Coturnix japonica: one gene and its partner. The protein of the gene in region 2 interacts with the protein of the main gene of each other region in a pairwise test. Links are inferred from orthologs where the notes say so. Each region holds a gene or a part of one and is shown on either strand. Other genes may lie near its edges.

Region 1 (3,818 bases), on a different chromosome or scaffold from region 2:
TGACCACAATCTGTACTCACTGCTGCCAGAATCAGCTGGGCTGGAACTTGATTTCCAAACCTATGATTAAGTACACTCTAACTGAACCTTTTTTCCTCACTTTCCATCCATTTGCTCTACTGTGCTAAACCACAGCAGGTAGCACAGTCCAACGAGGGCTCATAATTTCATGTACAAAGCTTACAAAGATGTTTCAGGCAGCCCTAAGTCATCCTTCCCCAACAAAGAAATGGACCTCAGCTAATCCCGTGGGTACCAAGAGACTGGATCTTACTTAAGACTTATCCTGTTGTCAAATTCTGTATAACTTTTTTTCCCCTCACCTTTTTGATTTCTCTGAAACTGAAGCAGTGATTCTGGCCTTCTTTGTAAAGTCTTACAATCCAAATCCCTACCTGGAAGTTAAGCATTAGTATTACTATCAGAAGCAATTTGAAGATCCCAGATATTTATTCAGAACAGCTGGCATGTTTGAAAACTCAGTTGTAAAGCATTTCTTATAAGACTCAATTTAACCTACATACAACACTACCTTTCTTATGATGGTTTTATTGTTTCTGGCAGCATCCATAAAGTATCAGGTGCTGTAGATTCAGATAATTTTAACCAACACCAAGAGCTCCTTCCTCTCAACTGACTCTATACAACCACAAATATGGAGTGAAAGTATGTCAGGGAGAGGTGCTTTCCCAGTTGTGGTCCTTAACTACCTAAATAAAAGGCTTTCCCTTCTAGTCCAAACAAGTATATTCCAAAGGAAGGGGCTAATTGATCCATAGATTGTTGTCTGTTCTCTTCCAAAATCCTCCTCAACTCACATATCACCAAAATGACTTTATCTGAGCTGCAGAACTCTGTCTGTCCTAAGCAATCATGGTATAACTTGTGTAATGATGCTTCAGTGACATTCAACAGTACTAGGAAACAAAGGCTGCTTTCCTTTTGGAGCATCAGGATCCTAAAAAGAGACTTGAATTTGAAGTGTGCAAGTTAGTCATGTCCCACTATATAACTGCACACTCATGAAATACTATATGCCAAAGTTGGGACCATTATCACCCAGGTTGGTCACATTTTCAGTTTTATCTCAAGGTTAAAAAAAGGTGATGTTCTTTCTAGGCAAAGTGAGTGATACAACATGTTGACGAGTTGTATCTTTAACATATTTCCTTGAAATTTGCTATCACAGCAAGGAAATATCTGGAGCTGTGAACTCTTCCTCATTTGGTCCTGAGCTTAATGAGTCACTTGAACAGAGTGAGGTTCACGAAGTTCCCTGAGGAAGGTTAAACACTTCCAAACACTCTTGTGATCCTTTGCAACTGTAGATTAAATCTGTATTGGAAGTGAGGGGTCTGTCACTGCATGGAGAAGTCATAAACCAGAAAATGGAGATGTCTTTTGTCACGCAGCTTTCATCAAGCTATTCAAGACGGGCTCACCAGCAAAAAAGCTTACTGCAAGAAAGGATGTTGTTTCTGGTACAGTTGTCATCTGCTTTGCTTTTGGATGTGCAGAAACCTAGGCCTGTGGGAGAAAAATAAGCAGTTTTAAGTCTTGCTAGGGTGAACACAGTTCTACCTCTATCATATAAAGGCAGCAACTTACCAATGGCAGTAATTTCATCAGAGCTAGTCACCCCACCAGAAATGCTCACCTGTGCCAGAATCTCTGACTCAGAAAAGATTATCTCATGATATAATAAAGTTCAGACAGTTGAAAAGAGTCCCTGGTTTGTTAAAGGTTGGCTTCAGCTGCTGACTTTCTCTTGCTGAGTTTCATTCAATATATCAGGCTGCAGGGATCTAATTTATATGGGACACAGTCATATACTCAAAGTAAAATCTGAATGTAAAACAGACTTACTTGCCACAAAAGTCCTTGTGAACAGCATGAAGGGTGAGGAGCAAGTCAGGATGCTCACACAGCCAATCCTCCACCATACCTGGGTGTCTGGGATCAACTTCCAGAAACACACTCCTGAAAAGATGTGACACATAACTAGGTTGCTAGGCCAACAAAAACTAAAATCTTCCTTTATGGAACGCTGCAAATCAGTGATCTTAAAACAGACTGCAGCTATCTATTTAAGAACAGATTCCAACCGCCTCCTTCAGAGGAAGAAAATGTTGATCTTAATGGGAATTTTCATGATACTCCTCTGTAAGAGCAGTTTTAACCTGGTACTGAGATGATAGGAGCCTTCTGAACCCTGCGTAGGAATATCACCCACCAGCTTTATCTTTCTGATGCCCACAAAGATTCAAAGTGGAGCATGCTGCTCTACAATGCAAATGCACGAATGCTGAACACTGGACTGGAAACGTGGAGTTCCTTTGTATGAGAATGGTGACATTAAGTCCCAGCAGTGAGAGTCAAAGTACAAGTCAGTACACACATTTTACTGTGATAATTATCTCCATAGATGAGTTATGAAACCACCACCAGGTTTCAGGTCATACTGTCTTACACATGATTGACTATACAAAGGAGAGAGCAATAGGGATAAAGGAACTAGTCAGACAGCTTCAGATAAAGCACCAGGACACAGCTTGGTCACAAAGAACCATTTCCATCTTGGCTGCAGCCAGGCTTTGTGACATGGGCCCATTTCTGAAACTCTCCTCCTGCAACAAGGTGGAACCACTCCAGGTTACAGGCAGGTGGAAATGGACTACAGCCTTTGACAGTTTAGCAAGATACAAGTTAAACAGGCAAAGCACAGAGGCCAAGCCCCAACCCTACACTCTCTTGAGAATTCCTGAACAGCCCCACACCGAACACTCCCTATAAATTCACCAAACTAATTACGGGCTGGGTGTGGTTCTTGTTATTGACCTTAAAAGACTCCTACCCCGCAATGTGGGCTCCACCTTATAAAACAAACAAAAAAGGGACTAGGAAAAATATCTTAACAGTCATCCCCACGGGACTGATGTCTCCCGCTGGGAAGCACTGGGGAACAACTTCTGCTCTTGTGGCTGAGCAAAAGAATATGGACTTTTTTCTTTCCATTGTGCTCCTCGGTACTCCTGTTCTTCTTCCCAAAACAAGAGATTTTCAATGATCTCTCTGACGCTGGTAAAGACAGGAATTTTCAACAGGATATAAGACTGGCAGGGCACAAAAGACATTTGGATATCAGCATGCTGATCTTCAATCATAAAATGGATCTCCCATGACAGCAAGTAGAAACCAATCAGTCTCAAGCATCCCTTGTGCAGAAATCCAACATTTAAGAAACAGTCTCACGCTGATTACCATTATTCTCCCAGGACATTCAGCACTGAATCCTGGCATAACATACAAGCTTCCCTAATTAAAGAGTGAGAGGGAAACAGATCTACACCCATTCTCACAGAGCACTATATTGTTTTTCCCTTAACAGCTTTTCTGCTTGGAAAGCTTTTTTTTTTTTTTTTTTGTACTTCCTTTCCCTCTGTTCTCTCTTGTTCTTTCTGTTGCTGCTTTGAGTTTTAAAGATTCTAATTTTGTTAATGTCTACAAAACACCAGCGCTGGTTAAAGAAGGCCCATATCCCTACATTAATGAATTTCAAACTTCATTTCAAAATTAATGATTTTGCTTATATACATCATTTTTTTTTGTAAATAAATACAAATGTATTACTATTACTAGATGGGTATTTCTGCAGTCATTTTCCCCCAGTACAATCCTGTATGAAATAACAACAGTAGTTACAGATACGGAGAGAAGATGTGAGATTCAAAAGGAGGATCACACTCACCCAGAATCCTTCAGAAGAGAAGGAGCCAGAGTCAGAATTGTTTTGATGACTCTCATCCCGTCATCTCCCC
Region 2 (3,818 bases):
TGATGGAAGGAGAAGAGCAGATTCAGTAATAAAGACTGAAGAGAATCTGATATTATATCTGCCCTTCTGCCAGCACAGCCCCCCACTCCCTCTGACTGCTGGCACAGCAGAGCATGAGGCAGGAGAGGGCTACACAGAAAGGCTGTGTCTATTTAATACGGCAGCACAAGGGAAGAACATACCTCTGTCAAATGCCATTTTGACATCTTCAATAAGATCACTAAATCCTGAAACTCTGTACAGTCCTTCGGAATTAAGACCTGCAGGGAACATTTCAACAAGATTAAAATCAGTATTAATTTCACAGCTTCCTTCCACCCAGTCCTTTCTTTGCCAGGTTCTTCATTTAAGGGAAGAAAAACAGACCAGTTAACGGCCTGATCAGGCTTTTCTTTCAGAATGAAATCTTAGCAGGCTAAGATTTTAACCCTGCCCTTTTAACCCTGACCCTTGTTTCAGCTGCTTCCTTATATCAGCACTTAATTATGTTTATGCAAACGGTTTCAGAGCTGAAGAAACATATTAAGCCAATTACAGCAGATTTAAAAGTAACCAAGATTAACATACGAGATGTTCTGTCATCATTTCAGAGTGAAAATAAATATTCTAATTGTAGAAAAGGGTATCTGTGCACTATGGGAACTAGCAAGAGGAAACACGTCCTCACTAACTGGCTTTGATTCTGGCACATTCACTTGATCTTTTATTAAAGATATTACTGGAAAGACAGGTGCCAATATGTAACAACCAAGTAGTAATTATCCATTAAGCAGGTTCTAGCAAAATCTATAGAATTATAAACGCGTATGAACCATGAAATAATATGAAGTATAACATTAACAGTGTAGGGTAAGTGGCAGTCATAAAACGTCTTGTGCAAATCTGTTTTGAGCAATCATACGCTCAGCAGAAACCCAGATGACCCAGATCAATCTAAACGGATTATCAGTAAAGCAACGAGAGCCCATTAACTACGCCTTACCTCGGGATTCAATCTCCCTAATGCACATGTCTACCACCATGGGTCTTTTAGTGAAGTGCGCTTTGACTAGCGTGGTAAGGTCACAGCTGTACACTTTTTTGACGTGCTTCAGGTCTGGCTTGCAGTCATTTGGGACCATCTTGGAACACTGCTTGTGCACATTTAAACCACAGTCTGAGGGAAAAAACAAAGGACAATTAGGCTGGTGTTTGGTGAAGATGGATCCTGAGGTCAGGGATGCCGAGCACACGAGGACCCTGACCTGATCCTGCAGCTACAGCTTTTGCAAGGCCACGGGCTGGGTGTGCAGCTGTGCTGGCAGTCACCAGAACAGTTCTATTCACTTTAGAAGTGACTTTGGGAGGATGTTCCATTTACCTACTTATTCATTTGTTCTTTCATTCCTTTATTTTTAAGCAGGAACAAACTGCTCCACAGCAGAAGGAAGAAGAGACTTAGCCTAAGTGAAGTTCAGCTGAAATGACATTATGGAAAAATGTTTGTTCTGCTCAAAACCACACAGAACATACTAACCAGGGTGTGGGAAAAAACCACAATCATACAGGAAACCAACACTGATTATAGAGCACAGTCACTTTTCAGCTAAGCACAGGCCGCTGCCTCTGTCAGCAGCGGTGCCCAGCCAGCAGCCAGCACCCTGATATCACTGCAAGTTCTCCAGTTCTGCAATGGAGACTTGCAGGCATTTGGGAGGGAGCAGCCAGCAAGAAGTGTGGCACTGTGCAGTCAAGGCCACGTGCAAGCTGCAGCTGGTATTCAGAGAGCACCAAGCCCTGCCCACATCTCTGTGCGGCTCTGCTGCTGGGCCCAGCTCACTGTGCTTCCACAGTAGTGGAATGAAGGGATGTGGACACCTGAAAGATCAACAGCTTTCTGCAGAGCCTCCCCTTGGATTATGCCAGCAGTTTATTCACATTACTGCAAAGAACCTTGAAGCACATCGGCCAGTGGGGTGAGGGCGGCTCTGCCGGGGCTTTAAATACCACCAACACTCCATTTCAGTGGATCTCTGACAAATCAGGTCCCTCAAGGCTATAAATAGGGAGCCCAAACTCTTTGGAAACGTGTGACCTGAATCCTGCAGCATAATCCTCCGTGCTTCAGCTCTATAATGGAAAGGGGATGCTCTGGCTTTTTCTGGCATTGACATTTGTTGTCTGTTTGTGGGACTGCACCTCACCTTTTGGTGCAGGGTTCGAATGCTGTAATGTCAGGGTAAGCAATGGCTCCACTTTCAACAGCAAGGAGTAAACAAAATTCTGAGCAGTGCTAGCAAGCCAGAGCCATCCTCTCTGCTTCCAGAGCAAGGATCAGCAGCGGAGACAAAACAACATGGAGCCAAAGAATGAGGGGCAATACCTCTCTTGCACACACGGAAAGGAAACATCCTGACATCCCACAGGAAATCTTAATTCTTGATTTCCCTTGTTTTAAACCCCAAGTTTGCAGCAGAAATACTATTTATGACTGCAAATATCATGATCGTACACAAATTGCTACAGCTGCCCCAAGGAGCACCTGCTCCATCAGGGTGAAAAGGTTGGAATATTAAAACATTTATCAGAAATGTTACCAATGTCTGTCAGAACTGCTGTCTACAAGACTGAAATGGTTCCATCTTACTCATGAGGACTCACCAGACATTTGCTGAGTGCAAATTAGCCACTTCACATAAACAGCAATACAGCTTACAGTTATGTTTCTGGGAATCCAAGGCTAATTAAGACTAAAATATATAAAAATAGAAAAACATGCTTCCAAGCATCTTATACTTGACTTAAAGCAATTATTGCATTCACTGAGCTCATCCTAATTGTATTTACATACAAGAAAGTTTTATTTCATTAACATATCTAATTTACAGAGATGTTTCCTATGTGAAAACCTCACTTCTAAAAATAATTGTGTTATTGCTAATCCCGCAGACTCAAATAGGCTTTGGATCTGACCTAATTAATGCCAGAATTACAACAGAAAAAGTCAACTTTCCTTCTATCTTTTGTTCTTCCTTTACACTTGACTGGATTTTACGTGCTGACCCACTGCTCAAGGGCTTACGAACACTCCTGAGAAACATTTAAACCCAGAAATACTTCAGATAGTGAATGCTTACAAAGCACACGAGCACTGCTTTCAATAACACCATTGGGCCATTCAGTATCTTTCTAACAGTCAAGGCTCTTTAGCTCTTACAATGAATGTAGGGGACTCACTCACTTTAGCAACTTGACAGCAGTATCTACTTGGAAGAGACTTCAGTGTATTTTCAAGAGAAAAAAGCTACCTGTTTCAACAGATGAGCTGAAACTCCCCAGTGCTGTGGTTTCTATCGGGTGAATCCCCCTCCTGAGCTAAGGGTCATGTCTCAGTCACTGGTCTCTGACCAAGCTGACAGCCAGAGTCACGCACGGCTGAAGGATGACCGTCTGTCTGTCTCACTGACTCAGACAAGGTAGAAAGCACACAGCCAGAAGGTCAACCCTCTGCTCCACAGAGCTGTGTGCAACGTGCCAACCTTCTGCTCTAATGATATCCAGCTTACTTGTTAGTACTAAAAGACAGCACTTACACTGCAAATTGTGCATTATTAAATACATCTGCCCTCTGCTCTCATTGCAGATGCTTCATCAAGGCTTTGAAACCCATTACTTGAGAATCAGCTAGAAAGAAACAGGAAAGCATAGACCTGATTCTCTCTGTGCACTTTTGCATGGTGAAACCTCAGGTGTGCCTGCCTTGTCTGCATATATCTGCATCATCTGTTTGCATTTGTTGATTAAGACCAAGATTCTATTGATTTCACTCTGAAGGCCTA

What was found.
Region 1: the proteins of CHN1 (region 2) and HEMK1 interact in binary tests that used the Homo sapiens proteins (3 or more experiments, as listed by UniProt). The two-hybrid records come from large-scale screens. The link is inferred for Coturnix japonica from reciprocal best matches to the Homo sapiens genes CHN1 and HEMK1.

What each region holds. Positions count from the first base shown.
Region 1 is NC_029527.1:947,951-951,768, reverse strand, and holds part of HEMK1 (MTRF1L release factor glutamine methyltransferase), read right to left. Parts: coding exon 3,749-3,818; intron 1,981-3,748; coding exon 1,867-1,980; intron 1,528-1,866; coding exon 1,491-1,527; 3' UTR 1-1,490. UniProt on the Homo sapiens protein: N5-glutamine methyltransferase responsible for the methylation of the glutamine residue in the universally conserved GGQ motif of the mitochondrial translation release factors MTRF1, MTRF1L, MRPL58/ICT1 and MTRFR.
Region 2 is NC_029522.1:14,963,132-14,966,949, reverse strand, and holds part of CHN1 (N-chimaerin), read right to left. Parts: intron 1,157-3,818; coding exon 983-1,156; intron 261-982; coding exon 183-260; intron 1-182. UniProt on the Homo sapiens protein: GTPase-activating protein for p21-rac and a phorbol ester receptor. Involved in the assembly of neuronal locomotor circuits as a direct effector of EPHA4 in axon guidance.